3 linked regions of the Alligator mississippiensis genome follow. The protein of the gene in region 2 binds, or shares a complex with, the protein of the main gene of each other region. Links are inferred from orthologs where the notes say so. Each region holds a gene or a part of one and is shown on either strand. Other genes may lie near its edges.

Region 1 (10,270 bases), on a different chromosome or scaffold from region 2:
TGCCTAGCCTCAAGTAGCAGGAGGAAAGAGGTGTTATGGGAAATGTCTGTAGCAAAAAAAAAAAAAGGTACTGGAAAAGTAAAGTGAAGCAGTTCCTAAAAAAAAAGGTACCAGACTCAGTAGGTATGTTGGTTGGGGCTTGCCGTCTTAAAGAGATTGAACACTTTGCATACGTGCAAACACTGCAAACTCATTGGGGAAATACGACAGAATGCAACCACTGGAGAAATAACATCCCTCCACCAGACAGCCATACACTTCTCTTTCTTGAAGAGCTACAACACCATTCTGGCCCACCAGGGAGCCGGATGACAGTGCACGTATCAAAAAGGCATGATGGAGCTTAATTAGGCATACCAATATCAAAGTGCTATGGCAGAACTCCCCCCGCCCCCAGCATTTTTACAGATGATCCTCCTCCCCTAATCTTGGGCAAGAAACTGTGTTGCTAAACTGGCTTGGGACAGATAACTGGCAGCTACTCCCTACTGCACACAACCATCTAACCTGTATGGCAGCTGAGGTAACAATGTGTTTAATGCATGTCCATGCAGGTGACTATGTGCCTGCGCCATACAATGCACATGCTCTTTTGAAATCACAACCAACTAGAAGGCTAGCCAGAAAAAGTGAGTTACACAAACCAAAACACAACACAAAAGGGGAAATAAGTATTTAATCAAAACATTTCCTTAATTATGTCCTGATGGAAACCAAACTCAAGGGTTGGCAGACTACCATGAGTAGAAGGCAAAAACCTGCAACAGAAAACATCCTGCCCTTCAACCTAGATAGCTCTTCCCCGTGCTTTCTAGGACGAGCACTCTGGCAGCTGTTAACTGCTGTGACAGCATGGATTTGGAGGCATAGAGGAAGGTTTCAAATATCCAGATCCAAGTCTATTCAAAATATTAACTACACTCGCCAAATCTTGAACAGCTTCCAGATACGAGAAAGGAACCACTACAGTGCTTTCATAAAGATTACTAAAGGCTCATCTCACAAAGATTTGCAGCTGCACCACACAGACCTCAGCTTATATTGAAACTTAACCCCAAAATATGTAACTATATTATAGGCAGCTGAGGCACGGATCAATACATCGAGGTCTGCATTAGAGGGGAGAGGTGTAACCTCTAGGACAGTTGCATCACATCAGAGGCTACTACTAGCACCTAGTACTACCTGCATGAATACAGGAGGTAATGCACCTCCGCAGGACCTACAAGCTATTAACCGCAAACAGACTCAATTCATCAGACATTTTATCACTGTACAATATTTTTCTTTAAGTTTTATAAGAAATTTGACATCCATACTTCTTTTTTTTTTGGTTAGAAAAGACTTATAAATATACATGGTAAGCTCAGTCCTAACTCTAGATGGGAGTAAACTGTAAGCACCAGCAACTGAAGTGATTTTTTTATTATTACATCTCTTTCACACAAAAGCTAACCAAAATCAACTAGAACCATTGGAAATGTGCAGATTTATTGTATGTCTGCCCTCTCTGGTTCTGTGAAGCTAAAACCTTGTCAGAACGTTACAACTATCAGAAATGCAAGCAACTCAGCAGCAACTTAAAGGCAACATATGAGGAGATTTATAAAAACATCTCTTCCGATTCCCACTTTTTACTTCTCCTCTTGGGAGGACTCATTTCTAACCAAGAGTGTGTTGCCAATTATTGCAACAATTAAAAGTTTCATCTGCAAAAATCATTACACAGTTTTGCCCTTCAGTTTGTGCACTTAACAGCGCTTTGTCTATTGTCAGTCTCACCTAGCTGACAGGGGCCTTCTGAGGGTGGAAGCAATCCTCACATATTAGAGGTGTTCTTTAAAAAGTTAGGACTGGAGTACCACTAGAAAATTGCAATTGCTTTTTAAAAACTAATTAGATTTCAAATTGATGCCAGAAACACAACAACAAGAAAAACAAATCCTACAGAGCAAACAGAAGTGTCAAGATAAAAAGAAATCATACATAAGTGGGGAATTATCCTAACACTTAAACTGTGTTGTCCCCTAAAGTCCTTGGGCAAAGAAAGCAGAATACTAGGAAAAGCAGGAAACGTAGGAGAAAGCAACAGCTTCGTTTCAAAATACAGTTCAGCATCAGCAGGCAAAAAAATAACCAGCTTAAAAGCAGAAAGCCAGCAGGAAGTTCAAAGGCAAGGATGCTCGGGGGCAATGTCTTTTATTGAACCAGCTGCACACTGCAATAAAAGATATCACCCACTAGATCAGTGGTTCTCAACCTTTTTCAGTTGACATAGCCTTTGGTGTCAGAGTGAGACTTCATGTACCCCCTTTCAATGGGAAATTAATTTTTTTAGGCCCTTCGACCTCTGTTAGACAGTGTATGAAATATATCTCACGTACCTCCGAATGAGGCTTCACGTACCCCCGGGGGGGTACGTGTATCCCCGGTTCAGAACCGCTGCACTAGACCCTCACCTCCAACATAGTGTGGTGACCATCACCACTCCAGCAGCACCACCCTACCATGTTCAGGGCACTGGGTGGGCACCCTGCAGGACTGGAGTCAATTTTCAGGGAGTCAAAAACCAGGGAAGGCAAGGAAGGGGACACCTCCAACTTCTCCACCTCCCCAGCAGTTACGTCCGAGGAAGTACAAATCCTGTTTTCCAGGTCCTAGTCGTGTCCCACTGCACAAGGCTGGAGCGTTTCAGTACCAGGACCTAGATGATGTTGGGTTTTCTCCCACGTAGCCACGGTGTGAAAACCAGAGACTAAAATAACAGCAGAGCACGAAGCTCCCAGGCTGGCATTGCAGAGCGACAGCTGTACTCCCCTTCACGACCTCCCGTCCCTCTGGTTCTCTCCCGAGCGGCTCCTCTTCGCTCCGACGTCCCGTCAGCCCCAGCCGCTTTCCTGCTCCCGACACGACAAACCCCCTTCCCGCGGGACGTCCCCTCCCTACAGACGGCGGCTGCGGGGTCACATCTCAGGCCCCAGCGGCGTCGCCAAGCGTCCGACAGTTATCCTATTTCAACCCTCGTACGTGTTTGTACGTACGTATCCATCGCACGCGCTTGTACAAACACACGTGGATTCGCACGTTCTCTCAACGCTGACGTCCCGGCAGCCCCAGGCCTTCCCTGTCCCCGGCATGACCGACCGACCAACCTTCCCGCCGGACGTCCCCTCCTGGCGCCCAATTATCCCACCCGTGCCATCGCTTCAACCCTCTGCACGTACGTACGTATCCGCCCTGTGGATGTGCACGTACGAACGAACCCACGGACTCGCACCACGCGCCGCAGCAAAAGCGTTCAGAAGACACGCACGGCCGTTCGGGAGGCCGCGCATCGACGCGACCCCTGAGTCGCTCTTGCCGACACGAGATAACGAAGCGTTTTGGGGAGCGCGGTTGGCGCGGGGAGGCGGCTGGTTTGCAGACCGAGGGGGCTGCAGCCTCTCTTCCCAGCGCACCGGAGTTGTCCACGCTCCCCACACGCTGGCTGCCCCCCGGCCGGGCTGGGACGCGCTCCCCCGCCGCGGGAAGCGGCCCGGCCGCCCCGGGCTGTGGGGACGAGGCGAGGGGGGAGCGAGCCCGACGCTCCGCGAAACTTTCCCGGGCCCAGCCCCCTCCCGGCGGCCGCCCCCCGCCCGCGCCGCTCACCAGGTCCTTTGTGTTTTCCATCAGGCCCTCATGGGCAGCGGGCGGCCGCCGCCGCGCCCGGCCCTGCCCCCGGCTCGGCCCGCGCCGCCTGCGCGCCCCCCCGCCGGGCCCGACGTCCCGCCGCGCGCTCGGGCCACAGAGAAAGAAACCCCAACTCCCCGGGCCAGACTATCAACAACATTAGCATCCCCGCAGTGCGCAGGCGCGGCGAGAGCCCCGGCCCCGCCCCCCGGGGCTTTGCGGCCCTCCCGGCTCGCCGTACTCGCCCGGCGCGCACCATTCCGCGGTGGGGGAAACGCGCGGGCTGCGCTGCCCGGCGGCACACGGCTTCACCTGCTGGTTGTTGCCGAGCTCCTGAGGGGCACGGCGGGGCGGCTCCGTCTCTACAAAGTTCCTGGAGGAGGAGGAGGAGGCGGCAAGCGCAGCCTACAGCCCCCCCGCGCAAAGGGGGCGAATGGACCGGTCCAGCTGTCACATGGGGCAGGAAGCGAGGCGTCACGTGATTGGGGTGGGATTGTCACGTGAAGGGGTAGTGTCACTTCCGCTTCCGCTGAGCGGCTATGGAGGAGCAGGTGGTAGCTGGCGCCGGTATCCTGCCCGGCGCGAAGCGGCGCCGGCGGCACAGGCAGCGGCTCGCGGGCGGTGCGGAGGCCGGCGAGGGGGCGCGGCTGCCGGGCGCGCTGGGCGAGAGCGCGGCGGTGGAGCGCTGCCTGGAGGCGCTGGTGTTCGGCGGCGTCCAGGAGGCGGGCGAGGCGGAGCTGCTGCAGCGCCTGCGGGGCCCGAGCCAGCAGGTGAGGCCGGGCAGGAGCCTCGCTGCGTGCCCCCGCGCCCGCGTGGCGCCTCGAGGAGCGGGTGGAAATGCGGGGGGAGCCGGCAGACGGGAGGGGCTCCCAGCCCTGGGCCTTGCAGCGGGCGCGGGAGGGGTCTGCCAGGCGTCCCACGTGGCGTCCGGCCTCCATCCTGCTGCCCTCGTCCTCGTCCCCCCCTTTCTTTCTCCACCCTTTCGTTGGCGATGTTCATCCTCCTGCCCTGGCTGTTCAAACACACTTGCTGCCGGCCGCCTTCGCTTCTTAATTGTGGCCCCCGTCCTAGGCGGAGCTGGAAGAGACCTCCAGCGGTCACCGAGTCCCGCCCCTGCGTGAGGCAGGATCGTCCCGACCCAACCGTCCCATCCGCCCGTCGTCTAGAGCAGACGGGTTGCGCACCGCTGATTTAAAATGAGACCACCTTTACCACCAGTGACTTACTCACTTCAATCTGATGCATTTTTGTCGTGTTTAAGTAGTTATTAATTGTTAATGTGTACTGCTGATGGGTTGTCTGCGTACCGCCGGTGGTGCATGTACCGCAGATTGGGAACAGCTGGTTTTGAGCAGTGGTTCTCAACTTTTTTTTGTACTAGGACTCGTTTGTAAACATCAATGGCTAGTCCCGACCCGGTGTCCTTCACTCCCAAAAGGCTGCCCCCAGGCCCTACCCCCCCCCCCCCTTTTTGCATGGGTATGGGGCAGCAGGGGCCCTGAGCATCTCCTCGCAGGCTGGGACTCTGCCATCCAGCAAGGGGAAAGCCACGGTTTCCCATGTTTATCTCTGTTAAAGGAGAATCCATTTTTAAAGTTTGTTTGAGACCCTTTCATATGTTCTTGCAACCCACTTTTGGGTCATGACCCACGGGCTGAGAAACGCTGATCTCATCTCTACGTAAGAGTAGATCATGCACTGCACGGCCCCCCCCCCTCAGCCTCCCCAACCTAGGGCTGCACCAATAGAGAGGTTTTTGGGGCCAATACTGATAGCCAGTTTTTAAGGAAGCGTATCCGCTGATACCAATACAGCATGGAGAGCTGTGTGCAGCTGGTAAGTGTGTTGTGGTGGAAGGGGAGGGAAGAGGTGTGGGGGCCCAACCTGCAGCTCCAGATGCTGCTCCAGAATTGTGCCACAGAGACGGACGCATGTGGTGCAGATCCCAGAGTAACTGGAATGGGCACCTCGTGGCTGTCAGCTGGGGGCATGTAGATCCCAGACTAGCCAGAGCAGGTACTATACTACATGCGGTGCCTGCCGTGGCCCGACAACTCTGCACACAGCACCCACTCTAGCCAGTTTGGCACCTGCACTACATGCAGTGCCTGCAAGCACCGTGTGCAGTGTGGGTCCCAGACCAGGAGTGGCACCATGTGTAGCACAGTTCTCAGTGGGGGTGCCACATGTGGTGCAGCCTGGCCAGGGAGGGTACTGGCCGGTCTGAAGTCTGTGCTGTGCACCCCCTGTTATAGTGTGCTGCACACAGTGCCTGTTCTGGCTGCTCTGCGATCTGTGTGCACACAGCGTGGATCCCACAGTGGCTGGAGTGGGTTTTGAACCCAGAATGCCAGGGGAAGGGAGGGGATTTGCAGGCCTGATTCGGTCTGTGGACTGGCTCTGCACCACTCGTTCAGTCTACAGTGATGGATGAGTTTGACACCTGCTACAACTGCTTTGTAGGCAGCCTTTTTTACTAGCCTGCTTTACCTCTCATGAGTCTGTCTTCTAAACTTCCCCTTCTGAGGAAATGGTTTAGCGATGAATTGCCATAGGACTAACATTTGTTTTTTCTATGTGTTTGTCTTTACAGGAGATGGTGATTGTTTACACTTGCTTTCCTGAAAAGTGTCTTCTCAGTTTACAGTTGTTAAATTTGTTATTTTAGGATATGTCTACAGGTACACTTGGAGCTATTTCAAAAGGGAGTGCTTCAAAAGGACAGCAATTATTACTTTATAATTGTTATCTGTGAAGGACAAACTGGTACAATTGTAACACAACTGCTCCAACTTTAACACTGTTTCAACCCCTGCTGCTGCTTAATAAAGCAGCACTGAAGTGGGAGTGGTCTTGCTACATTTCTATTGTTGCTGACTTGTTCCTGAATAACAATTAGGAGGTAACAGCTCTTGCCTTTCGAAGTGTTCACCTCTTAAAATGACTCCAGGTATACAGGTGCCTGTACCCTTAGACTTATGTGTGTTTGTTTGTTTTTAAGCTTGATGGGGTAATCAGTGGAAATCTTCTGAAAGGGGACTCCAGTGATTCAGAAGATGAAGCACAAGACAATTTTCCTCTATCTAAGAAACCAGCCTGGGTGGACGATGACGATGAAATTAAAGAAAAGTAAGTTCAGTACGTAGCGACCAAAAAGGGGGCAGGAGAGGTGGGACTTTGATTAGGTTCCTTTTTAACTGCCTATTTCTTGGAGGTATACTGAGAACAAAGTCATTAAACTTGCAATTTTTTATTCACATCCTAAATATGGCTCTGTTGTCTAGGATTGATATGACCCATCGGTATCGGAAAGACATGATGAAGAGTGATGCCGAGAAGAGTCTTACCAAAGAAAAACTTCAAATAAGACTTCAGGAACAGTAAGGTTTTTTCCTATACAAACAGATTTTGCTAATCATAAATCTTGCTGCTAATTTCAATAACAAGAATTGATCTAATAGCAGTATTAAAAATGCCTCCTTCCCCCCCCCCCCCCCCCCCCCCCCCCGACAACACCTAAATACTCAGCATGTTGCAGTGAAATTTTACTTGTGCTTTTGGAGTAAGCAACCTTGATTTCCTTAGCATTAATCCTGGCATTACTCCTTGAAAGAGAGGATTTGTGTATTTTCTTTTCATTCCAAGGGCCCAGTTTCAAATTTGCGTAGGTATTGTTTCACCAATGCATTGGAACATAGCAGTAGTTTTCGTGCACAGCAATACAGTGGCGAGTAAGAAGGGAATATAAATAAGAAGTTGCCTGAGGGAGGAAAACAGTAGCCGAGTAGAGATCTGACAGTTGCAGTCAGTGCTGGGTCCTAAAAGGAGACAGTGAAGTGTGTTAATCAGTACTATTAGGGAGGAGTGTTTAGTTTAAAGGAGAGAGACAACATTTTGGTGAAGACAGAAGTTGTGAGCCCAAACGTACAGTTTTGTGAATATAAGAAAAAGTTGCTGCCACTAGAAATGTAAATACCTTTGTATTTAAGGGCTTTCTGGAATACATGTGAACATAACCATGTAGGAAAATGTCACTTGTTCAGTTTTGAAGTTACTTCTGTACTTGGACACTTGGAGTCTGTCTTTCCATGGTTAATAAAACCAGCGTGCCCAAGAGTATTTTATAGTTACAGCAGTTTGATCTCAGGCTGTAGAAAGTGTATTTGGTGGGAGCAGACTAGAAAAGCCCTTTAAAAGAAGGAAAGGACGGTTTATGGGTGTCAGGTAGGAGTGTGGAACTCTGTCAGGCACAAGATATTGTTTTCTACAGTGATGGTTGGGAATGGGGGAGGAAATAATGGCTCTCTGGAAAATGGGTTCTGGGCAATGTGTACATATTATTCATTCTTTCCTAAAGAGGAATGTATTCTATCTTTTTAAGGTTTCAGAGAGCTATGGGAGGAGTGCCTTCATGGGCCCAGAGAGGAAAGAAGAAAACCAAGAAAGGTAAGATATAAAATAAGAAATGATGATAATTAACATGGTCAGTAAAGTATTCAGTGCTTTCAATGCATCTTACTTTGTGTTACCACTTAGAGCTTTATTTTTTTTTTTTACTGTTACTCCCCACCCCTTAGAGTAAACTATGCAGAGATGTTTTTAGCTTTGGCTCTTCAATGCACTTTTATTTATGACTGACTTCTACCTGCTTCCCCCAAAGCAAACATCTGATTATCTTAAATTTGTGAGTTGAGATACTGGAATAAACTGTATATTCAAGAATTGGCTTCCTCTTTTAGATGACAGTGGGGATGAAGATGATGATGATCTTCTATGCAAGACTGGCAACTTTGTCTCTATTTCAGAGTCTTTACCAAAAGGTATTTTGCAGGTAAATAACTACCCTGCTGCGCCCTCCCCCCTGGAGTTGGTCTGGGTACACAGACTTCGAGACAGAGCTGTGCTACTCAACTGGTTGGGAAGCAGTGTTTGCCAGTTCCTGTTTGGATGCCTTGTTTACTGAAAGGTTTTCCAGACCTGAAAGCTTGTTTTTTTTTTTTCCCTTTAGGGAACATGAAGTCGGTTGTGTTCTTATCATAAGTGCCATATGATGATGAGAGAGACTTAACAGTCAGTTTCAACACCTGTAGCCCCATCTACTCTAGAAACATTAGCATTAGGGCTGTGCAAAGCTTTGGTCCCTGATTCGATTCAGCCCAATTTGGTGGCTGAATCTCTGAATCCAAATTGAATCAGAGGACCCTTTAATTTCTCCAAATTGAATTGGAACCCTCCAAATCGATTTGGAAATATTCGCCGATTCAGACATAGACGCAGTTTTAAATGTTTTTTTCTACATACCTCTAGGTAGCAGGCAATTCGTGAGTGCTGCGATGCTGGGGTGCATAGAGTGTCCCACAGAAGCACAGGGAGCTCCCCAGCGCAATCGGCAGCAGACCCAGAAGTGGACAAGAAGCACTTCTGGTCCACTTCTGGGGGTGCCAGAGAGCTCACTAGGGGGCCCCCGTACGCACCCCCTGGCTTGGCAACTGGTGCTGCCTGGGTCTAGCGGGGGGTCATAGGGTCCTCCTGTGGCTGATTGCCAAGCTGGAGGGGCACAGGAGGGCCCCCCAGCACGCTCCTCAGCGGACACGGAAGTGGACTGGAAGTACTTCTGGTCCGCTTCTGGGTTCTCAGCCTAGCACGCAGGGGGCCCGTCCACGCTCCTGTGGGACGCTCCATCCACCCCAGCATCGCAGTGTTCATGAGCTGTGCCTGGTACCTCCGAGGTATATAGAAAAAACATTTAAAGCTGCGCCTGTGCCCGAGTTGCTGATTCTTCGAATCAGCATAGAGTCTTTGATTCGGCCAAATTTGAATCAAAATCAGGGACAGTGATCTGAATCAACAAATCAAATCACTGCCCCCGAATCGGAATACAATAGGGCCCATTTCACACACCCCTAATTAGTATAGAACTCCTAAATGCCAGGATCACCTGATATCTGTTGTACAAGCTGAAAGGAAAGATGCTGTTCATTTCTCAGAGCTATTTTCAGGTTTACTGCAAACTCTTTATTTGAGGCGTATTGAAGCTTTGATAGCTTGTACCAGCTACATACGTTCAACTAAAGGATGGCCCCAGCTTCCAAGGGTTATGCAGGAAGGATAGCACTCCGAATTGTTCTCCAGAGTGGCATGCATTACTACTTTACAGTGGGGTGGGGAGAAACCTGAGAACTGCCGTAATAGAACCATTGGAAATTAGGGTTGGCAAGGAACTTAGAAGGTCATCTAGTCCAACCCTCTTCTCAAAGCAGGACCATCACCAACTAGATCATCCCAGCCAAATAGCTCAGACGTAAGATCTGTGTAGCTTAGTATCTTGTCTTGGACGGTGACAGGTAGTATTTAGGGAGTATAAGAAGTGGAGCATGCATAGTGATCAAGCCTTTTGGTTACCAGCAGACAGGTTTGGGCTTGTTTCAGGTTATTTTATTGTGCTCTAGAATGGCAGGCATTGTTTTTAGTAGACTGGACAGGGAAGTAACTAGTTTGACAGTACAACGCAACACCTAGTAGTCTTACACAACAGCCTTTATGTGAATATGTAGCACAACAAAAGCTATTCGTGTGGGATTGATATTCTTTTTTTTGTGTG
Region 2 (9,727 bases):
AGCTTTTAGGAATTTTATTTGGATGTAATGGGAGTGAAGTTTAATTTAAGGAAGGAAGCAAACTTGGAAGAGGAAGAGATGACCTAGGCATTTCTTGTACATGTATTTAGAAGCATAATTCCAAAAAGGAACTTGTAGGGTCCTGTATGTACTGGCTCATTAGTGGCAACTTGAGTAAAGTCTTGCTTACCTGTAAAGCACTCAGTTATGGGTTGGAGATCTAAGGATATTTTAGGCAGCAGTTATGATTATACTCATAATCATATTTTAAATTATGATTATACTATTATTATTATTTTTACTTCAACTGGGATTTACCATTAACTTCTATCAGCCTTTTCAGCAACAACTGCCTTTATATAGGATTAAGACCCACAAGTTAAAAAGAGGGGAACTCCACCCTCTGATCTCCTGATCCACTGTGTTTTTATGTCTCTCATAAATTGAAAATTCTCCAGCGCAGGCAGTAGGCGACTGGCATCCAGAATGGCACTTAGTATACAACAAACTCCAGAATCTCACATTTTAAGGAACCCCAATAACAGTTCTGGCAGCGTGCCCTCGACTTGATACAGCAAATCTAAAAGGAAACAGGGGAACCATACTGGCTACATTGCTAGAAAGCACATTTATGAGCAAGGCCCAGAACATCAGGAAAATGCACAGCACCGTTTCTGGTTATGATGGTTGCAAAAGGAAGGACTCTTGTTACATCCAAGAACAAGAAACTTTCTGAAAGACACTTGAGAGTCAGCTTATTAACTGTTTGAATCATTTCAGCAAACTTGGGGGGGGGGCTAAAGTGAGTGAAAGTACTTTGCTGGAGTCATGAATTAGACCCTGCATCTAGTATGACCTATCACTGAGGACCCTCATTACAAAGCACTAAGTGAGACTCAAAACTGAAGTCCCACTTATATCCATGGTGTACTATCTTATAGTCACCACATGCTTTGCACTGCAGGTTACTCCCACTTGGAAAACTTACATAATCTTTTCTTGGAAACACTTTACAAAACCTTATATATCAGCCAACAAAGGTGAAATTCAACTGGTCAGATTTGAGCATGGCTGAAAACTATTTACATCATGAAAAAAGTGGGTTAAACCTTCTAAAATTGGTTTATGAGGATTTTTTTTTTACAATAATTCATCAATCCAAAGGAATGTTTAACAATCATTTGTGCTAGGTGAATCTACAACGGAATTCAACAGAAGGGACTAAAAGAATCTCCATCTTTCACTAACACCAATATTTGTTTAGATGCCTTCTCTGTGCTGACATCCAGGGACTGTGGAGTGCTAACAATGTGGCTGGCTGTTAACTAGAGAGTTAAATTATTGCTATCTCTATGGAATGACAACGTGGATGACACAGATTTCATTTGCTGGTTCAAATTTCCAAGTCTCTGACAGGGAACTTCATCACGTCAAGGAAATACTGCAGACTGCTCTCTCTCTGTCCCTAACTCCCCTCCCCCAAGCCCTAGCAACTTAACAGTAACTTTAACACTGCACACTATAGAAAGTCGCTTTCTTACAGAAATCAATAGGTCACTTTTGTTTGGTTGCTGCATACAGGTAGACAGGGGGAGAGAAAGAGAGAGAGATGTCTTCACCTTCCCACCACTAGATACCTAGTTGAAGTCCATAGCAAATCATGATACGAAAACAGGAAAGTTAACTGGTAATGTGTTCAATACTAAAAACAATTAGGCTATCTCCGTACAATCCATGTGCATGCACGGACCACTTCTGATGGACTTTTATCAGCTGTCAGCAGCAATCATAAAAGATTTTAGATACTCAATGAGGCTGTACTGCCAACTTAACTTTGTTCTTCCAGATAAATTGAAACAGAACATCTTAAGTAGAAAAAGCATACTAGAACTGAAAAGGAAGTTAACTGAATCCAATACTCATTTTTGTGGCTTAGACCAGTCTCTTATGCTCATCTGGAATAAGAAGCCAGGCTAAGTGTGGGATGCTTACGTTTGAGTTTTTGACAAGCATGAACTGAGAATATTAAAGGGAAAGAGAAAAGAGCATCTCCCTTTCTACAAAACCCTCCTGCAGAGCCTAGGTCAGTGCCAAGACTGTAAAGAAAGTTTCTTCCAGGTTTGTTCAACAGCCACTTACAAGATTGAGAAAAGATCCTGGAGGGCATGGAAAGAGAAGAGTGAAAGAAGACTCAGCTGGAATAACTAAGGTGGGGAGATGTGGAATTATCAGAAAAGCATCCTGATTCAACTAAGCTGGTAAGAATGTCCAACAGTGCTAAAAAGAGAATTATAAAAATCAGAACATGACAGTGGGGCCTGCTCAACAGGACTGCTCCAAAGAGCTGGTATTTTCTGCTTTCTTTTCGGAAAAGCCAAACAGCCACTTTACCCTCCCTCATGGTTTTTAACAAGTACTTACCAATCGCCCTTCTGAAGTTTTCCATCAGGACTTCTGTCTTTTTTATCTCAGTTGAGTAGACCTCGCTTCCAACCATAGGACAAAAGGGAACCTTACTTCCCAATTCTTGAGCAATAGCCAGCGCCAAAGCAGTCTATAAAAATTCAAAACATTTGAAGATCATACACATATATTTTCAGAAGAAGTAACAAGAACTTATGGAAAAAAAAGATTACTGCTCCACAAAGTTAAGAATAAATACTATTTTAATCTTCACAGCATTCCATTTTTACAGGTGGAGGAAAATACCAAGCATCCTTTCTAAAACTGAAGTAGGGGGTAAATCAATTCACCCCATGAACCATGCCTGCTGACGTTTGCATACTTCTCTGTGCTAGAGCACAGGGGCAGGGGAGTTGGGAATGATCATCCTTACTTACTTTAATATGGTCAGAAGGTGGATAGCAATACTCCACTTCTCAAGATCTGCAACTGAAAGGCTCTCCAGATGTTTTCTAAACATTGAAAGCTCATGGAGGAAATTTAGGCTGGAGATTTGGAACAGCTTCCTCACTATGAGGATGGTTAAGCATTGGAAACAGGCCACTGAGAGAGGCATTGCTGTCCCTAGAAATTGTCACGAGCAGGTTAGATGGACACTGGAATGGTTTACATGGAAATGATCTTCCCTTGAGCAGGGGGATGGACTAGATAACCTCATGAGGTCCCTTCCAGTTCTACTTTCTGATAAACCTAATTCAATGCCCCAAATCTCTAACAAAATAGGAATCCAACAAGTGAGAAAATGGACGGGGAGATGGAGAGACCAGAAACCCTTAATTCTTCTTAAAAATAAAAATCCTCAAGCTTTTCTCCCTTGTTTCTTACATGCAGAAACAAACCTGTGCATATACACACGCACACACACACACGGGTTTTTACCCAAGAAACTTAAGAGCACCAACACGAAGAATTTTAAAACTCCGGATAGTGCGGAGAAATCATTTTACCATCTCTCATGAAAATGCTTAAACCTTAAGTAGTGCAAAAAAAGTTAATACTTTTAAAACCCCAATCCTGGGGCTTCCTCCAAAAAAAACAGACTTCATAAGACTATGATACCGTCATTTTCCTGCATTAGTGTTATGCGGCTGATACCTAGATGAACTATTGGTTTCTGCCAAAATACGTATCGCAGGGAGATGTGATGTCAAGCAGTGATCAGCCGCAAAGGCCACCCTGGTTCCAGTCCAACATGACTGCCGGGGAAGCTGCCTGGTGAAACGGTGCCTCAGAAACAGTCGCGGCGGGGAAGCCTTTTGGCCCCAAGCAAAACGATACCTTGCCAGTGCCGGGCGGTCCTGCCAACAGCACGGCTCTGCCGGCCATCTTCTTGCTTTTGATCAATTCCACTATCACACCGCAGGCCTGAAAAAAGGAAGACATGTCCGTAGTTACCAGCCGGTCAGAAACGTGCCTTCAAATGCGTAGAACGCAGAGAGGCAGCACGGGTGTTATTGCAGGGACAGGGAAACTGAGGCCAGGGCAGAGGAGGGGGCTGCCCCAGAGCTCACCATGTTGCCTGGGGGCAGCGGGGAGCGGGGGGGGGGGACGTGTGGCGGGGGGGGGGGGTCCGTCCCACGGGGGAGGAACAGGGAGGGGTTCATCGCACGGGGTGGGGGAGGGGCAGGGTGCATCCCGCGGGGGAGGGGCGGGGGTCGCGGACCTCGCGCGCGTTCTCCTGCCCCACGAGCCCGGCGCTCGCGGGCTTGGCGGCGCCGCTGTCGTCCAGGCCGAGCCCCTTGACATGGCTGTGCGCTGCGATGCGCTGCGTCTTCGACGTGCTCTTCACCTCCTCGATCTTCATGGCGACGGCGGAGACAGCAGCGGCAGCAGCGGTTCCCACGCGGCCTGCGCGTTACCTAGGCGGCCGGCGCCACGGCCCCGGCCCCGCCCCCCGCGCCGCCATTGGGTCCCTCTGCGCCAGCGCAGCTGCTAATTGGGGCTTGCTCGTGTCTGTCACAGCGCGGGGTTGCTTTTCTTTAGAACCCGCCCATCCACTTCCGCTTGTGCGACGTTCAAAAGGCTCTGCACGGGTGGCCGGGGAGGAAGGTTCCGCGGGGTGTTAGAGGGTGTTGTCTCAGCCGTGGTGATCGCTCTGTGTCCTGTTGGCTGGAGGGGAAGTGAGGTCAGGGAAGGTCCATGCAGCTTTCAGTGGCAGTGACTGAGAGTCCCTCTCTTCTGTCCCCAAGCAGTCACTTTGGTTCCCAGGCTCAGCTGCTGTATGCAGCAGGGGTGGTAAACCTGCCTTCCTGGCTCCCGTCCCCTGGAAGGGCCTTTGCTGTGTGGTTGTTGCCTTCTTTGATTTTTTTTTTTTAATTCCTCACTGTGTTTTCATGATGGTTTATCCTTGGCACTGGGAAACTAATCATCCTGCTGCTCCTCTCCCTCTTCAAACTGAGTGAAGAGCTGAGGTATTGACCTGACCCAGCAATGGTCCCAGTAGGCGATGCCATGTGGATGCCAAATCCAGCCCCTTTCTGGAGCTTGGTGTTAGCAACTAAAGGAAGAACAGAAGTGGGGCTTTGTTTCTGTCCACTTACAACATAAGAACTGCCGTCTTCATCCTGTCGTGCAGGAGGGCTGCCCTGATGCTGCTGTCCAACAAGGGGGACTCCTGTGACCTGAGGAACTGGCACCCAGTCTCGCTCCCCTCTTCTGACTAAGGTCATAGCAAAAGTCATCTTGCTGTGCCTGAGTCTGTGCAGGCAGATGTGATTCACCTCAACCAGATATACGGTTGCAGGGTGCTCCATCTTCGACAGCCAGTACCTGGTGTGAGACCTCCTTGAGCTTGCTCGCAGGGACAGCCTGTCATTTGTCCTCCTTTCCCTTGATCAGGAGAAGGTGTTTGACAGGGTGGATCACAGATACCTCACAGGCACGCTGAGGACATTTGGCTCTGGTCTCCACTTCGTGCAGTTTCCCCAGGTGCTGTATGCCTTCACAGAGTGTATGGTCAGGCTCGATAGGACACTGACAGAGTCCACAGCTGGGAGAGCATCAAGGTTGTCCACTGCCAGCCCAGCTCTATGTCATTTCCTTTGAGCTGTTCCTCTGCCTCCTGCACAAGCAGGTGGTAGTGCTGGTGCTCAAGGAGCTGGCCATGCGAGTGGTTCTGTCACCATATGCCACCAACATAAGCCTCACCGTCCAAGACCCGGGTGACCTGGTGCATCTGGAGACCTGCAGATCCACCTACTCAGCTGCCGCCTCTGTCTGGGTCAACTGGGTCAAGAGCTCTGGTCTGATAGTGAGTGACAGGTGGCAGGTGAGCTTGCTCCCACCTGCGCTGCAGTACATCCAACAGAGTGTGGGCTCGCTGCTCCATCTGGAGAGCTGACACAAGTTGGAGGCACAAGCTGGAGAACTGACACAAGCTGGAGGTCAGGGTGTTTGAGCAGCTGCAGGCATGGGCAGGACTGTTACAGTGTCTCTCCCTTCATGGGAGGACACTAATCCTCAACCAGCTAGTCCTGTTCGTTCTTTGGCATCGTTTCAACACCCTGGCCATGCCCCCAGATCTCCTGGCCAGTCTCCAGAGATAGGTACTAGGTTTCTTCTGGCTGGGACATCACTGGTTCTCTGGAGGTATCCTGAGCCTCCCCATGCAGGAGGACATGAATGGCCTGGTCTGCCTCTGCAACCAGGTCCACACCTGTATTCAGGCCTTGAGGAGGCTGCTGTACAGTGCAAATAGCCAGGCAATGTGGTGCCTGATCAGCTGCGTTTTCCTCCACCACCTCTGAGGGTACTGGTGTGACTGACAGCTCTTCTCCCTGTGAGATCTCCCCAAGCAGGACCTGGAATAGCTGCCAGACTTCTCCCAGTACCTCCTTAGGGCCTGGAGGCTGTTGATCTGGGTCCCCAGACACAGTCACCCAGACCATTGACCTCCTCACTGAGCCGCTGCTGAAAAACCTACAGCTGATGGTGCTGGTGACAGAGGTGCCCTGGGTGCACTGGAGGATGGTCCTGGCCAACATCACTCATATTGGAGACCTTGGGTGGGGCCAGTTTTGTTCAATGTCTTCGTCAATGACCTGGAAGATGGCATAGAGTGCACCCTCAGCAAATTTGCAGATGTCATCAAGCTGCAGGGAGTAGTAGATATGCTAGAGGGTAGGGCTAGGATTCAGAGTGAAATAGACAAATTGGAGGATTGAGCCAAAAGGAATCTCATGAGGTTCAGCAAGGACGAGTGCAAAATCCTGCATTTAGGATGAAACAATCCTGTGCACTAGTATAGGCTGGGGGCTGCCTGGTTGGGCAGCAGCTCTGCAGAAAAGGACCTGGGGATTACAGTGGACAATAAGCTGAATATGAGTCAGCAGTGTGCCCTCATTGCCAAGAAGGCTAACAGCATACTGGGCTGCACTGGTAGGTGTATTGCCAGTAGGTCAAGGGAAATGATTATTCCCCTCTGTTCAGCATGGCTGAGGCCACATCTGGAGTACTGTGTTCAGTTTTGGGCCCCCCACTACAGAAAGGATTCATATATGTTTGGGTCGGAAGGGATGTTAGCAGGTCATTGAGTCCAACCCCCTGCCCTGGGCACAAAAGAGTGCTGGGGTCAGATGACCCCAGCCAGGTGCATGTCTAGCCTCCTCTTAAAGACCCCCAAGGTAGGGGAGAGCACCGCCTCCCTTGGAAGCTCATTCTAGTTTCTGGCAATCCTGACAGTAAAGAAGTTTTTCCTGATGTCTAACCTAAATCTGCTCTCCTGGATGCAGACAAATTGGAGAGTCCAGTGGAGGGTGACAAAAATGGTGAGAGGGCTGGGGGACATGATTTATGAGGAAAGATTGGGGGAACTGAGCTTATTTAATCTAGAGAAGGAGACTGAAGGAGACGTAATAGCAGTCTTCAACTACCTGAAGTGGGGTTTGAAAGAGGATGGACCTAGACTATTCTCAGGGGTGGCAGAAGACAGAACAAGAAGCAAGTCTCAGGTTGCAGCAAGGGACATTTAGGTTAGATATTAGGAAGAATTTTCTCACTAAGAGGGTAGTAAAACACTGGAATGGGTTACCCAGAGAAGTGGTGGAAACTCCATCTTTGGGGGTTCCCATACCCCAGCTAGACAAAGCTTTGGCTGGAATGATCTAGTTGGGGCTGATCCCGCTTGAGCAGAGTGTTGGACTAGATGACCTGAGGTCCCTTCCAACCCTAACTTTCTATAATTCTACCTTCTGCACTATGCTAGGCAGGGGTGGGCAGATCCTTCTGCGCTGGCCCAGTGCATAGAGCTACCCACACTCTGTGCTCCCTTTCGCTTATTCCAGGAGGTAGAGGCTGCACTACCACCCACTGCCTTCACCTGTATTGACAGGTCCTGTATGAGGGCAGTCCCCATCCCCCAGCACTCTGGAGCTAGTTTTGGGGCACTGCCTCAGCAGAGTCCACAACACCCACCACCCAACTATTGTAGCAGTCTGGGGGATATCAAGCCAGTCCACGTACAAACAACTGACTGCTGCCAGCTTTACATGGTCATGCTGTGCTCAATCCATCGTCGTGTCCTCATGTCCTGCCCTGACAACAAGTGGTGGGACACTCTAGGTGATGGCACGGGCAGGGCTGAGGGTCCTCAGTGGACAAGTCTGTATTCCACCTTGATCCCGTAAGTCACCGGGGACCTCAGTTGGCAGCTTCTCCATGGAGCCATCACCATGTATTTGGTGCACTTTACAGACACCCCTGACACCTGCCCCTTTTGCCAGCAGAGGGAGACCCGGGCACATGCCTACCTCGAGTGTGCCAGGTTGCAGCCCCTCTTCCGCCTCCTTTAGAACCTCCTGCTGAGGTTCTGGCTGCATTTTTTGTTATGCACTCTGTGTCCATGGCCCCACTAAGCTCTGGGATATCTTGGTCAACTTCCTCCTGGCTCTGGCCAAGCTGGCCATATACAAGACCAAGAAGAAGGCTCTGGCTGGGGGAAACCTAAGTGAGTGTGGGGCTGTCTTCCTGTCACTCCTCTGCTCACATCTCTTGGCATTTTAACTGGTTGGCATCCACAGGCTTCCTTGACTCATTAAGGGGGCAGTGGGCACTGGCTGGGGTGCTCTGCTTGGTGTCCCCTTCTGGATCCCTTGTTATTAACCAATAAACTCACTCCCCTTCTTGTTTTTCTTTTTATTTGCCCCAAGAAATGAGTTTATCAGTGGCCTCCCCCATTAAGAGATGCTTATAGTTTCATAGTTTCATAGTTGCTAGGGGCTGAAAGGGACCTTGCAGATCATCAGGTCCACCCTCCCTGCACATGGACAGGAAAGTGGGCATCAAGACGTTTTTTGAAGATTGCCATGGTGGATGACTACCACTTCTGGGGGGAGCCTGTTCCAAACCCTGGATGCTCAGGTTGTAAAGAAGTTTTTCCTTATGTTGAGCCTGCAGCACTCTTCAATCAGTTTATGCCCATTATTTCTTGTCCTTCCCTGAGGAGCCTTGGTGAATAGATGCTCCCCCAAACCCTGATGTATGCCCCTGATATACTTATAGGCTGCAACCAGTCCCCTCTGAGTCTTCTCTTCTTCAAGCTGAACAATCCCAAGTCCCTCAGCCTCTTCTCATACGTCTTGTTCTCCAGGCCTCTAGTCATGCATGCGGCCATTCTCTGGACTCTCTCAAGCTTCTCCACATCCTTCTTGAAGTGTGGCATCAGAACTGGACACAGTTCTCCAGTTGTGGTCTCACCATGGCCAAGTAGAGTGGGAGGATAACATCCTTTGCCTTGCTCAAGATGCCACAGTAGATGCATGCCAGCATTTGGTTAGCTCTGCCAGCTACAGCATCACATTGGTGGCATGAACGCTGTATGCCCCCGGAAGCTGGTGGGACCCGGCGAGCTCTCACAGGTGGCGGCAGTGCATTGGTGGCTCATGCTCATTTTGTTGTCAGTCATGACACCCAGATCTCATTCAGTTATGGTGCTGGCAAGCAGAGCACTGCAGAGCCTGTAAGTGTGTTGTGGGTTATTTCTCCCCAGATGGAGCACTTTACATTTCTCTGTATTAAATGACATCAGGTTGAGAGGTCTGCCCACTTCACGAGCCTGTGCATGTTGGCCTATATTGTCAGCCTGTCTTCGAGTGTGAAAATGCTCCCCCACAGTTTGGTGTCATCAGAGAACTTTGCCAGATTGCTTGTAATACCTGAATCCAAATTGTTAATGAACATATTCTTCTGGAACCTCTCCTGAGCTCCAGGAGTCTTCAAATAACTTCTCCATTGCTCATGTGATGATGTTGGCCAGTTCTTTTAGCAA
Region 3 (10,327 bases), on a different chromosome or scaffold from region 2:
AGCCAGGCAGCAGCAGCCTGTCACAGCTCCAGACCCCTCCCCACTCTGCTAGAGGCAGCCTTCATTTCACTGCCCCGCAGGACTCCGGGGCTCACGGACACAGCCCAGCCCTGCTCCACCATTTGTGGGGCCTCTGCACCCATTTCCCAGGGCTGTCCCAGGGCTCAGGAACTGTACACAGCAGTCTGTGTTTCGGTAGACTCTCTGTACCCCCCCTTTGTTTACGAGGGCTGTCCCAGGCCTCAGGAGCTGTACATGCTGGTCTGGGCTTCTGTAGGGTCCCTTTCCACCCCATGTCACCTTGGGGGCTATACGCACCTCTATGTTTCTGTAGGGTTGCCACCTGGCTTTGCATTTATTATACAAAAATAAATAAAAAAACAAAGAGCAACCAGCAGCCCCCACCTGAGCCTGACAAAGGCAAAGGGAGGAAGAGGACACGGGGCCATATGGAGGCTTCCAACATAAGTCCGTGTCCCCTGGAGAGGTCAGTCTGCTTCACCCCCAAAAATAACAGCAATAGCAGCTGATTCAGTCCCACAGGCCTGAGAAACAAAGACAAAGCTTCCTCCCCTTCCCCCTGAACACAGGAGCCCCCCACCCGCCCACAAGGGCTCTATGTAGCCGGGACTGTCTGCTTGATAATGATCTTCTGGCGGGTGGCGCGGATGCCAGGGTCAGCCCCAGGAGGCCCAGCTCCCAGGGCAGCGGTGGCAGCAGCATTGGGCAGCCCATGAGCAGTGATGTACTTCTTGTACGCCTCACGGATGATTTTGAAGGCCCGGATGTTGGAGTAGGGGATGTCAGTGACAGGGTCGCGATACACGGCCGGCTTGTGGGTCACAGGGCAGATCTCGCGCACAGGCAGCCGGGGCTGGCGCCCCTTGGGGAAGAGCTGCTCGAAGGTCTCATCGTCGCTGAAGGTGATGAAGGTGCGTGAGCACTTCCCAGTGATGGGGGCCACAGCTGGTGCCAGCGCTGCCTCTGAGGGCTGGTGGAGATCTTGATCCAACCTGGGCATGGGGGAATTACCACTGGGGTGAGTCTGGGCTTCAGCTCCAGGAGACACAGGCATCCAGGGAGAGAGGGAGCAGGGCTACCTGCGCTCATGGCAGCCACCTACATGATCCCCAGGGCCTCTGCTTGGGTCAGTCCATCCCCATCCCCAACCCCGCCCTTCAGAGCCTGGGGTCTAATCCAGGTTGGTACAAGCTAAGGATCTGACCAGGCCCCAAACACCACCCTGGCAGACCTATGTGAATCCATACACACACAGCTCTGGTCCACAGACCATCCCAGCTCAGAGCAGCTGCAAGCCAGAATGTCAGGGCATTGCAGCTGAGTTGCTGGCAGCTGCGAGATGCCATGGCCAGGACTGGGGGCAGTGCCCAAGGACAGAGGTTGGTATGCGGGAGCCGAGCTCCAGGATCTACAAAGGGAAGGGGCACAAGGATTTTATGGAGAAGGGCTGGACTGGGCCCAAGGGTCCCCCTGCGCCCTAAACACCTACCCCTCCACATCCACGTTCTCCTCCTTGACGCCCAGGTCGGTGATAAGGGGCATGGTCACCGAGTGGTACCGGATCAATGGCCCCACGCACTTGCGCTTCTTCTGCACCTGCTTCTTCTTGTCGGCTTCCAGGCGCTCGTAGTTCTCTGCAGGGATGAAGAAACCGGATGTCAGCACAGCGGGCCTGGGGGGGACCTCACTTCAGCGCCTAGGGTGCCAGGCCCCATCTCCTGCAGGTACTTGCCCACCACTGGGACACAACTCAAGGTGACATGTCACAGCAGGCGGGTCAGTGCCCCCCACCCAGGGGGGAGACAGGGGTCTCCCCTAGCAGGCAGCCTTTGCAGAGCCAGCCACAATCATCATCTAGTTCCCAACCATGCACCGGTGAGAAGAGACAGTGCCCATTCACATCACCCGCAGACTTCCAATTAACACTGGGGGGAAACTGAGGGTCAGCGGTGAAACGAATCACCCAGCCAGGTAGCACCTGAGCTGGACAAAGAACCCAGGAGTCCTAGCCACCGCTAACCACCACATCCTGCTCTCCTCTGGGTAGGGAACCCAGGCTGGCAGCTTCTAATGCCTCTGTCTTCTGGGGTCCTTTGCTGCCCGTGAGCCCCACCAGCCCTATCCCTCCATGACCATAGCCCCAGGCCCATCCCAGCACCCTCACTGTACCCCATGGGGTGATGGCCATGGTCCCACCAGCCCTATCCCTCCATGACCATAGCCCCAGGTCCATCCCAGCACCCTCCTTGTACCCTATGGGGTGATGGCCATGGTCCTACTCACCTAGGGAGCGCAGGTTGATCTCCTCTGTGATCTTGGCCTCCTCCAGCAGCTCCTCCTGTGTCAGGGGACGGTCATAGTTGGGGCCGCCCTTCTTGCGCTTGGACTGCACCTGACGCTCCTGAAGGCGCAAGAATGTCTGGCGGGTGTGCTCTGTGGTCGACTGGCGCATGTGCTTGCGGCCTGGTGGGGACAACAAGGTGGGGGGGGGGGTCAGGGGGCACGGGGGACACAGAGCAGGGAGGCAGCCCCAGGCTCCCAGAGACAGAGGAGCCAGGGGAGCTCTGCTAGCGAGTGCCATGCATGCACTTACTGTCCCCAGCGTCATCCTGCAGCTCCAGGGGTGCCACCTTCTCCTCTCGGGCCTTCTGTGAGCTGCCGCTGGGGGCATCGGCCTTCTTGGGTCTCAGGCTCTTGAGGGGCTCCTGGGGGAGTCACAGCAGAGCAGGGTGAGGAAGGGGAGAGCTGCCGGGGGGATGCTACCTTCCTCACCTGTTACCCCTCATGGGTCAGTTCTTACCACCAGGCACCTCCTCCTCCCAGGGAGGCAACCCAGGAGGCCAGACCCCAACTCTGCTGCTGAGTCCAGACCCCAAGCCTCCCCAACGATCCCCTTCCCGCTGTAGCGGGCCTTACCCCCTTCCCAGCCGCCCCTCCCTCAAACATCCAGGTGACCCTAGTGCATCTGTAGCCCCCTTTGACGGGAAGCCCCGTGGCGCACAGGATGCCTGGGTCTTTGTCCCAGACATCCAGCCCCTTGCGCCGTGGAGCGGGCGCCTCCCCTCCCCCAAACCCCCACGGGAAGCAGAGCCCCGGCCACACCTTGTAGGCCTTGGTAACCACGCGGCGCTTGCGCTTGGGCTCGCCGTCCTCCTGGTCGCTGGCCGGCTCCTCGCCCTCGTCGATGTCGAAGTCCGAGTCCACCTCATCGTCGCTGTCCGACTGGTCGCCTTTGTACTCGTCGTCCCCCGACTCCTGCGGCACCGCCCGGACACTGCCGTCAGCCCCGGCCCCCCCACCGGATCGGCCCCTTCCCCAACCCTCCCAAAGGGCCTCGTGCCCCAGCCACAAAGGACCCCCCACAGACCCGCCCCTCTTCCAGCCCTTCCCAAGTGCCCCCCAAAACCTCTCCCCCACTCTCCTATGCCCCAACCCCCCATAGTGCCCACCCCAGATGCCTCCCACCCTAGTGGGCCCTGCCCCCCAATTACCCCCACCAGTAGGCCCCGCCCCCAGTAGCACTCCACCCTAGCAAATGACCCCATAGGCCCCGCCCTGGCAAACTCCGCCCTCCCCGGGGTCCCTCCCGCGTGCGGGCGCACCTCGGTGAAGCCGCCGTACGTGGTCTGGTAGAACTCGTCCTCCTCGGCCTCCAGCAACCCCGAGAGCCGGTTGCCCGCGGTGCGGCGCGGCGCCCTCCCCTCCGCCAGGCTCATGGCGCCGAGCGACGCGCCGACCCGCCACTGCGCGGCCTGGGATCGACCCGCCGGCCAGCCACTGCGCGGCCTGGGAGCGCCGAGAGTGGTGCGGGAGGCGAGCGCCGGGAACCAATCGAACGCTGAGTGATCGCTGGCGGCTGCGCAGGAGGGTGGAGCCTCGCTTGCCCCGAGCTGCCTCCTCGCAGTGGCCCCGCCCCTACTCTAACCCACCACTGTGGTCTCCCATCCAGGTGTTGACCCTTCTGGGCCCTGCTTGGCTTCTAAGATGCTGCGGGCGCCCCAAGCCTAAGCTGGGCGCCCGGGGGGTCGCGCATGCTGCTCCCCCGGCAGCTGCCCCAGGAGATCTGCATGTCTGCACCCAGGGGCGGGCCCTGCCACCCTGCAGGGAAAGATGCCCACGTGTTGGGGCCCCTTTAGCCTTTCAGCCACGGTCTGAGACCGAGGTAAAAGGGGTGCGGATGCTGTGGTTCATTTTCCCAAAGGACACATCACACGTTTTTCTCCCGGTGAAAAGAAACTGGAAGTTTTCATAGATGTTAGGGTCGGAAGGGACCTCAATAGATCATCGAGTCCGACCCCCTGCATAGGCAGGAAAGAGTGCTGGGTCTAGATGACCCCAGCTAGATGCCTATCTAACCTCCTCTTGAAGACCCCCAGGGTAGGGGAGAGCACCACCTCCCTTGGGAGCCCGTTCCAGACCTTGGCCACTCGAACTGTGAAGAAGTTCTTCCTAATGTCCAGTCTAAATCTGCTCTCTGCTAGCTTGTGGCCATTATTTCTTGTAACCCCCGGGGGTGCCTTGGTGAATAAAAAGTCACCAATTCCCTTCTGTGCCCCCGTGATGAACTTATAGGCAGCCACAAGGTCACCTCTCAACCTTTTCTTGCGGAGGCTGAAGAGGTCCAGGTGCCACAGTCTCTCCTCATAGGGCTTGGTCTGCAGGCCCTTAACCATACGAGTGGCCCTTCTCTGGACCCTCTCCAGGTTATCCACATCCCTCTTGAATTGCGGCGCCCAGAATTGCATGCAGTACTCCAACTGCGGTCTGACCAGCGCCCGATAGAGGGGAAGTATCACCTCCTTGGATCTGTTCATCATGCATCTGCTGATGCACGATAAAGTGCCATTGGCTTTTCTGATGGCTTCGTCACACTGCCGACTCATGTTCATCTTGGAGTCCACTAGGACTCCAAGATCCCTTTCCACCTCTGTGCCACCCAGCAGGTCATTCCCTAGGCTGTAGGTGTGCTGGACATTTTTCCTCCCTAGGTGCAGCACTTTGCATTTCTCCTTGTTGAACTGCATCCTGTTGTTTTCTGCCCACTTGTGCAACCTATCCAGGTCTGCCTGCAGCTGTTCCCTGCCCTCCGGCGTGTCTACTTCTCCCCACAGTTTTGTGTCATCCGCAAACTTGGACAGAGTACACTTCACTCCCTCATCCAAGTCACTGATGAAGACATTGAAGAGTATCGGTCCAAGGACCGAGCCCTGCGGGACCCCACTGCCCATGTCCTTCTAGGTCGATACCGACCCATCCACCACAACTCTCTGGGTGCGACCCTCTAGCCAATTCGCCACCCACCGGACTGTGTAGTCATCCAAGTCACAGCCTCTTAACTTGTTCACCAGTATGGGGTGGGATACCATATCGAAGGCCTTCCTGAAGTCTGTATATGACGTCAACCCCTACTCTTGCGTCCTTTTCCTACTAGGCCATGGGCCTGGGGCTGTAGTCTTCACTTGAAGATTTGTTTTTGCATCCATCTAACTTTATTGGAATGAGTTCAAGGCAGTCAGCAGGGCTGTAAAATAGGAGCTCCGTGCCCAGGAGCGTTGCAGAGCGGGTCCTGGCTGGACTGGGGGAACACTGAGGCCATTACATAGGAGAGAGGGTCGTTAACAGCTGCGGAGTGAAGAGTTCAGAAGGAAGCAGGTAGACGAAAGTGAGCCATTAAGTCCACTGATCTGTCAGCGCTGCCTGACTAGAAACACTGCTGCCACTGCAGGCTTTAAACTTTGGGTGGAGCAGGAATCAGAGAGGTGCGCATGCATCAGTGCATCCCCCTGGATCCACCCCTACTGGGGCCTCTGCCCCCACAAGGTTCATGGCCTGGGGGGGTCCATCCACAGGTGAGGGCAAGAGCTGGGACTCTGCCAAGGCCAAGGGATAGCGTGCGTGCATCTCAGCTTACCAGCAGCAGCTGGCAGCCAGCTTGATTAGTCTGATCACAGCAGGGACCTGATAACCTCTGGTCTCAACTCCTGATCCAGGGCTCATTAGATTCCCTTTTATGCTGTTGACTTTAGCTTTCCTGCCATACCTCCTGGCTAATGGCTGGCACAGAAACAGCAGCTCTTTAAACTCTGCTCCATGGATCTATCGCACCTTTTCCCTTTTGTTTTATCGCTGCTAACAATGGTTGCAGTGAAACGGGATCTCCCTGAAGAATTCTGCTGTGAAGCCTTAACTCCCAACATCTCAATGCCCCACACAAACCTGCTGGAAATGTCTTGGGGAACTCAGCCTGGGGTCCCAGAACAAATCAAATGTTTGCTTTAACAAATCGGAGGATTGGACCAAATTAAATCTCATGAGGTTCAACAAGGACAAGTTCAAAGTCCTGCTCTTAGGGTGGAACAAGCCCATGCACCAGTATAGGCTGGGAGTGGCTGGCTGGGCACCAGCTCTGCAGAAAAGGACCTGGGGGTGACAGTGGGCAATAAGTTGAATATGAACCAGCAGTGTGCCCTTGTCACCAAGAAGGCTAACAGGATCCTGGGCTGCATGATCAAGAGCGTTCGTTGTAGCAGATAGAGGGAAATGAAGAGTGTTTGTACTCGAAAGCTTGCAAATAAGATTTTTTCCAACAATTTTGGCTGGTCTAATAAAAGATATCAGATTTACCCAAAGAACCTTGTCTTCCTAGTCCCCTCTGTTTGGCACTGGTGAGGCCACATCTGGAGTCCAGTGGCCAGTTTTGGCCCCCTGCTACAGAAGGGATCTGGACAAGTTAGAGAGAGTCCAGCAGAGATCAACAAAAATGGTTGTGGCACATGATTTATGAGGAGAAACTGAAGGAACTGGACTTATTTAGTCTGCAGAAGAGAAGACAGAGTGGGGATTTACTAGCAGCCTTCATCTACCAGAGGATGCATCTGGGCTGTTCCCAATGGTGGCAGATGACAACAAGGAGCAATGGGCTCCAGTTGCAGAAAGGGAGGTGTAGGTTGGATATTAGTAAAAACTTTCTCATGAGGAGGGTAGTAAAGCACTGGAACAGGTTACCCAGAGACGTGGTAGGATCTCTATCCTTGGAGGTGTTTTAAGACCCAGCTCAACAAAGCCTTGGCTGGGATGATGTAGTTGGGGCTGGTCCTGCTTTGAGCAGGGGGTGGGACTAGATGTGACCTCCTGAGGTCCTTTCCAACCCTCATTTTCTGATTCTATGAATTCTCACCCCAAACTCTGAGTTTCACTTGGAATCAGAACCAAAGATCAGCCTCTGGTTTGTTCAGATCTGTTTTTAGCAAATTTGCAAAAGCTGATTGACAGGTTCCCTGCGATTTCAGGTTTCATAGTGCATGCTTCGAGGGGTGTTGAAACCCATGTTCCTTTTATCACGAAAAATCCACCGCAGCCTGTTGTGATCGGACTTGAGTGGGGCAACCTCATGTGAAGAACAGCACCCAGGGACAGTTGTATCTGGCTTCAGAAACAAGGATCTGCAGGCCAAGTTCAGCCATGGTGTAAGCAGGCACAATCTCATGGAAGTTCAGGGCCATGACACCCACTGAATTTCGTCCGAAAAGAGACATAAGGTAAATCTCAACTTTCAACAGCATAGTCTCTCCTGAGAGAACTTTGCAGCAGTTCCCACGGGGCTTGGATTTGTCTCCGTGTGTTCATGGCACACGTCTGTGCCTAATTAGGTGATCTCAGATGAGGTTTGCAATACACCCAGAAGCACCTCACAAGACTACTGAGGAGATGCATGATTAACCACTTACCAGGTTGCTAAGCTATTTGCTGTGAACACAGCTCCTTTTGCTTAGGTGCTTTTGAACTCAACAGGTGCTTTCACACCCCAGGAATCTCCAGAGCATTTTGCCATCAGGTCATTTGAAAGGTTTGATAGATACAACAAATGTCTGCATTAACTTAGGGTCATAAAAAAGCAGGGTTGGTAGGGCCCTCCAGAGGTTGCATCTAGTCCAGCCCCTTGCTCAAAGGAGGATCATCCCTGGAAAACCCTTGCTAGACAAGTGTCTGTTTAACCTGCCCTGGAAAACTCCCAAGGAGGGCGATTGCACCCCCTCTCTGGGCATCTCTTCCAGTGCTGAACCACCATTGTAGCTAGGAAGCTCTTCCTAACATTCAAGCTAAATTACCCTTGCTGCAATTTAAGACTGTTACTCTTTGTCCTGTTTCCTGCAGCCACAGAAAATAGTATATCTCTACCCTCCCTGCATTTGGAGACTGTTATCAAGTCCCCCCTCAGTCTTCTCTTCTCCAGACTCAACCTTCCCCATTCTTTAGGCCTTTCCTCACCAGTCCTGTTCCCCAGACCTCTGATCATTTTTTATTTGAGTCACTGTAGCACAGCCTGGGAACTGTGTCATTTCTTGCCTGCTCTGCACTGGTGTGAACGACTATACAGGACACAAGGCTACTGCACATCAAACCCAGAGTCCAGCATATGTGTGTGTGCACTTGCATTATTCTATGTGTCTGAGAGTCCCCTCCTCTGTCCTTCTGATCTTGACAGCGGTGTTGCCTTCAGGTAAGAGCAAAGGAACTGGAGATTAGTTTCCTATCTGTTTTTTTTTTAAGCTGAGCACACTGAATGGCAGAAAGACCTGTCCCTTCATTGTTTCCATCAAATAAAAAGTCAGCTTCTTCCCTGGCAAAACCCCACTGACTTCAGTAGTATTATAGCAGGTTCAGTTTGGGCCCAGAAAACAAAAGGGCCAGATTCTCTTACCCTTACCTGAGATGAATACAGTAAACTTGAGATGAATAACCCCCTGCTCTAGTTTCATACCCCGTTGTCCCAATTCCCCACCAGTAATTAGCTTGGGGTAATTGGTGCCTCTGGGATAGTTCATCCTGATTTGCATTCCTTTTGGAATGGCAAATGAACCAGAGTTTACTGTAGTTCCCTGCTCTGATAATGGTCCCCATGAAATTGGTAGGGCAGACCCACAGGCCTGCAAACTCAATGGAAAGACTCATTAATGTCAAGAGCTTTGGCTCAAGATCAAGGTAGAGGTGTCAGAGTTCGGCCCCACAGGCTGAGCAGAGGGTGCTTTCTCTGACCCCTCTCTATCAAGCGTCCTCAGTGCTCAGGTCATATCTTCCAGTCACTGGAATACCTCTTGGGGGTCCAGACAGATGTTGTCTGTTTTAAATCAGGAAGTGGGGACTGGTTTTGTGTCCTCTTGTTCCCCGATGTGATTAATACCTGGGGGACTCAACCATGAATCATCCCCACTGATGCCGTGATGTCCCACAAGGCATCGACCTCACCATGGAGATGGATAGACAAGAGGCACAAAGAAAGAGCTGTGATCCAAAATCACCAGGATCCATTTCTTCCCTCTGGAACTGGATGCCACATCTTCAGTCAAACACACAACTCTTGGATTGGCCTCTTCAGACATGTCTGGACTCACCGGTGAATCCTCTGACTACTGGAACATGATCATGCTCGTATTGAGGAATTGCTAACGTTGGCTCCTACATGCCATGAGGCATTAGAAGGAAAGTCCCACAGCTAATGCCTTCAGCCAGGGATCTGGACCGCGGGGGCTTCTCACGGACCTCTTGGGTGCTGGCAGCTGTGGAGGTTAACACCATTGCATCTTGCCTTGCCCCTGGAGAATTGAGCCCTATGGGGATCCCACCCATGAATTCATCAGCAAGGCAAACAACAGTGCCTTTAACCCCCTGGGTTAACTCTCTAGCAGCCACGGGGGTTATTGCCACCATCGCTTAACACCCCACCCCCCTGAAACGTAGCACAGGCCAGATGTTGGACATCCCTGCCTCAAACCAGTTAGAGCTCAGCTAATGAGCATAATGAGAATAACGTTGCCAAACGACTGGGGGAATCATCCCACAGCACCAGAAGGAAGGGTGGGGAAACATCTCTTTTTAATATGAACCCCCATAAAGTCTAGATAAGCCAATGGCAGACAAGGTTCTTTGGGTAAATCTGATATCTTTTATTGAACCAACTCAAAATTGTTGGAAACATTCTTCAACTATTTGAGTTGGTCTAATAAAAGGTATCAGATTTGCCCAAATAACCTTGTTTGCCTATGTCCTTAGACCAACACAGCTACAACCTATACCCCTAGATAAGCCAAATACACTTGAGGCAATGGGGTCGTGGGTAGTACATGTGGATGTAAGAGGGTCTTTGTTTGCATGAGTCCCACCCCCCACATACATTGATGCTGTTCAGCTGCAAGGATGGTGATGCATGCAGAGGCTTCTATGTGGTCCCAGCAGCTTTGGGAAGAGTGTCCCATGTGCAGCCCTCCTCCTTGCTGGGACTGAATTGAATCTCACTGAAGGAATCCAG

What was found. The genes of interacting proteins can lie anywhere in the genome.
Region 1: RUVBL1 (region 2) and MBTD1 share a complex: the UniProt entries of both Homo sapiens proteins name them as parts of the nuA4 histone acetyltransferase complex. The link is inferred for Alligator mississippiensis from reciprocal best matches to the Homo sapiens genes RUVBL1 and MBTD1.
Region 3: the proteins of RUVBL1 (region 2) and VPS72 are in contact, whole or in part, in a cryo-EM structure (PDB 9CA9), measured with the Homo sapiens proteins. The link is inferred for Alligator mississippiensis from reciprocal best matches to the Homo sapiens genes RUVBL1 and VPS72. Residues at the interface, in NP_003698.1 of Homo sapiens: Thr136, Leu138, Pro140, Glu142, Met147, Tyr150, Gly151, Lys152, Thr153, Ile154, Ser155, His156, Val157, Asp173, Pro174, Phe177, Glu178, Gln181, Ala187, Gly188, Arg205, Thr208, Tyr209, Ala210, Thr211, Glu212, Phe213; in NP_005988.1 of Homo sapiens: Ile212, His215, Arg263, Thr264, Phe265, Ile266, Thr267, Phe268, Ser269, Asp271, Phe274, Trp277, Phe278, Gln280, Gly281, Arg282, Pro283, Pro284, Lys285, Val286, Pro287, Arg289, Glu290, Ala299, Leu300, Tyr301, Arg302, Pro309.

The regions. Positions count from the first base shown.
Region 1 is NC_081831.1:10,351,799-10,362,068, reverse strand, and holds the start of MBTD1 (MBT domain-containing protein 1), read right to left. Parts: upstream 3,814-10,270; 5' UTR 3,670-3,813; coding exon 3,649-3,669; intron 1-3,648. Other genes in the region: UTP18 (U3 small nucleolar RNA-associated protein 18 homolog), read left to right, coding at 4,209-4,439, 6,671-6,798, 6,954-7,049, 8,051-8,115, 8,409-8,500. UniProt on the Homo sapiens protein: Chromatin reader component of the NuA4 histone acetyltransferase complex, a multiprotein complex involved in transcriptional activation of select genes principally by acetylation of nucleosomal histones H4 and H2A.
Region 2 is NC_081835.1:19,183,147-19,192,873, forward strand, and holds the start of RUVBL1 (ruvB-like 1), read right to left. Parts: upstream 4,348-9,727; 5' UTR 4,268-4,347; coding exon 4,127-4,267; intron 3,829-4,126; coding exon 3,742-3,828; intron 2,555-3,741; coding exon 2,422-2,554; intron 1-2,421. UniProt on the Homo sapiens protein: Possesses single-stranded DNA-stimulated ATPase and ATP-dependent DNA helicase (3' to 5') activity; hexamerization is thought to be critical for ATP hydrolysis and adjacent subunits in the ring-like structure contribute to the ATPase activity.
Region 3 is NC_081838.1:20,094,011-20,104,337, reverse strand, and holds VPS72 (vacuolar protein sorting-associated protein 72 homolog), read right to left. Parts: upstream 3,814-10,327; 5' UTR 3,738-3,813; coding exon 3,624-3,737; intron 3,277-3,623; coding exon 3,124-3,276; intron 2,727-3,123; coding exon 2,615-2,726; intron 2,485-2,614; coding exon 2,305-2,484; intron 1,656-2,304; coding exon 1,511-1,655; intron 1,014-1,510; coding exon 617-1,013; 3' UTR 326-616; downstream 1-325. UniProt on the Homo sapiens protein: Deposition-and-exchange histone chaperone specific for H2AZ1, specifically chaperones H2AZ1 and deposits it into nucleosomes.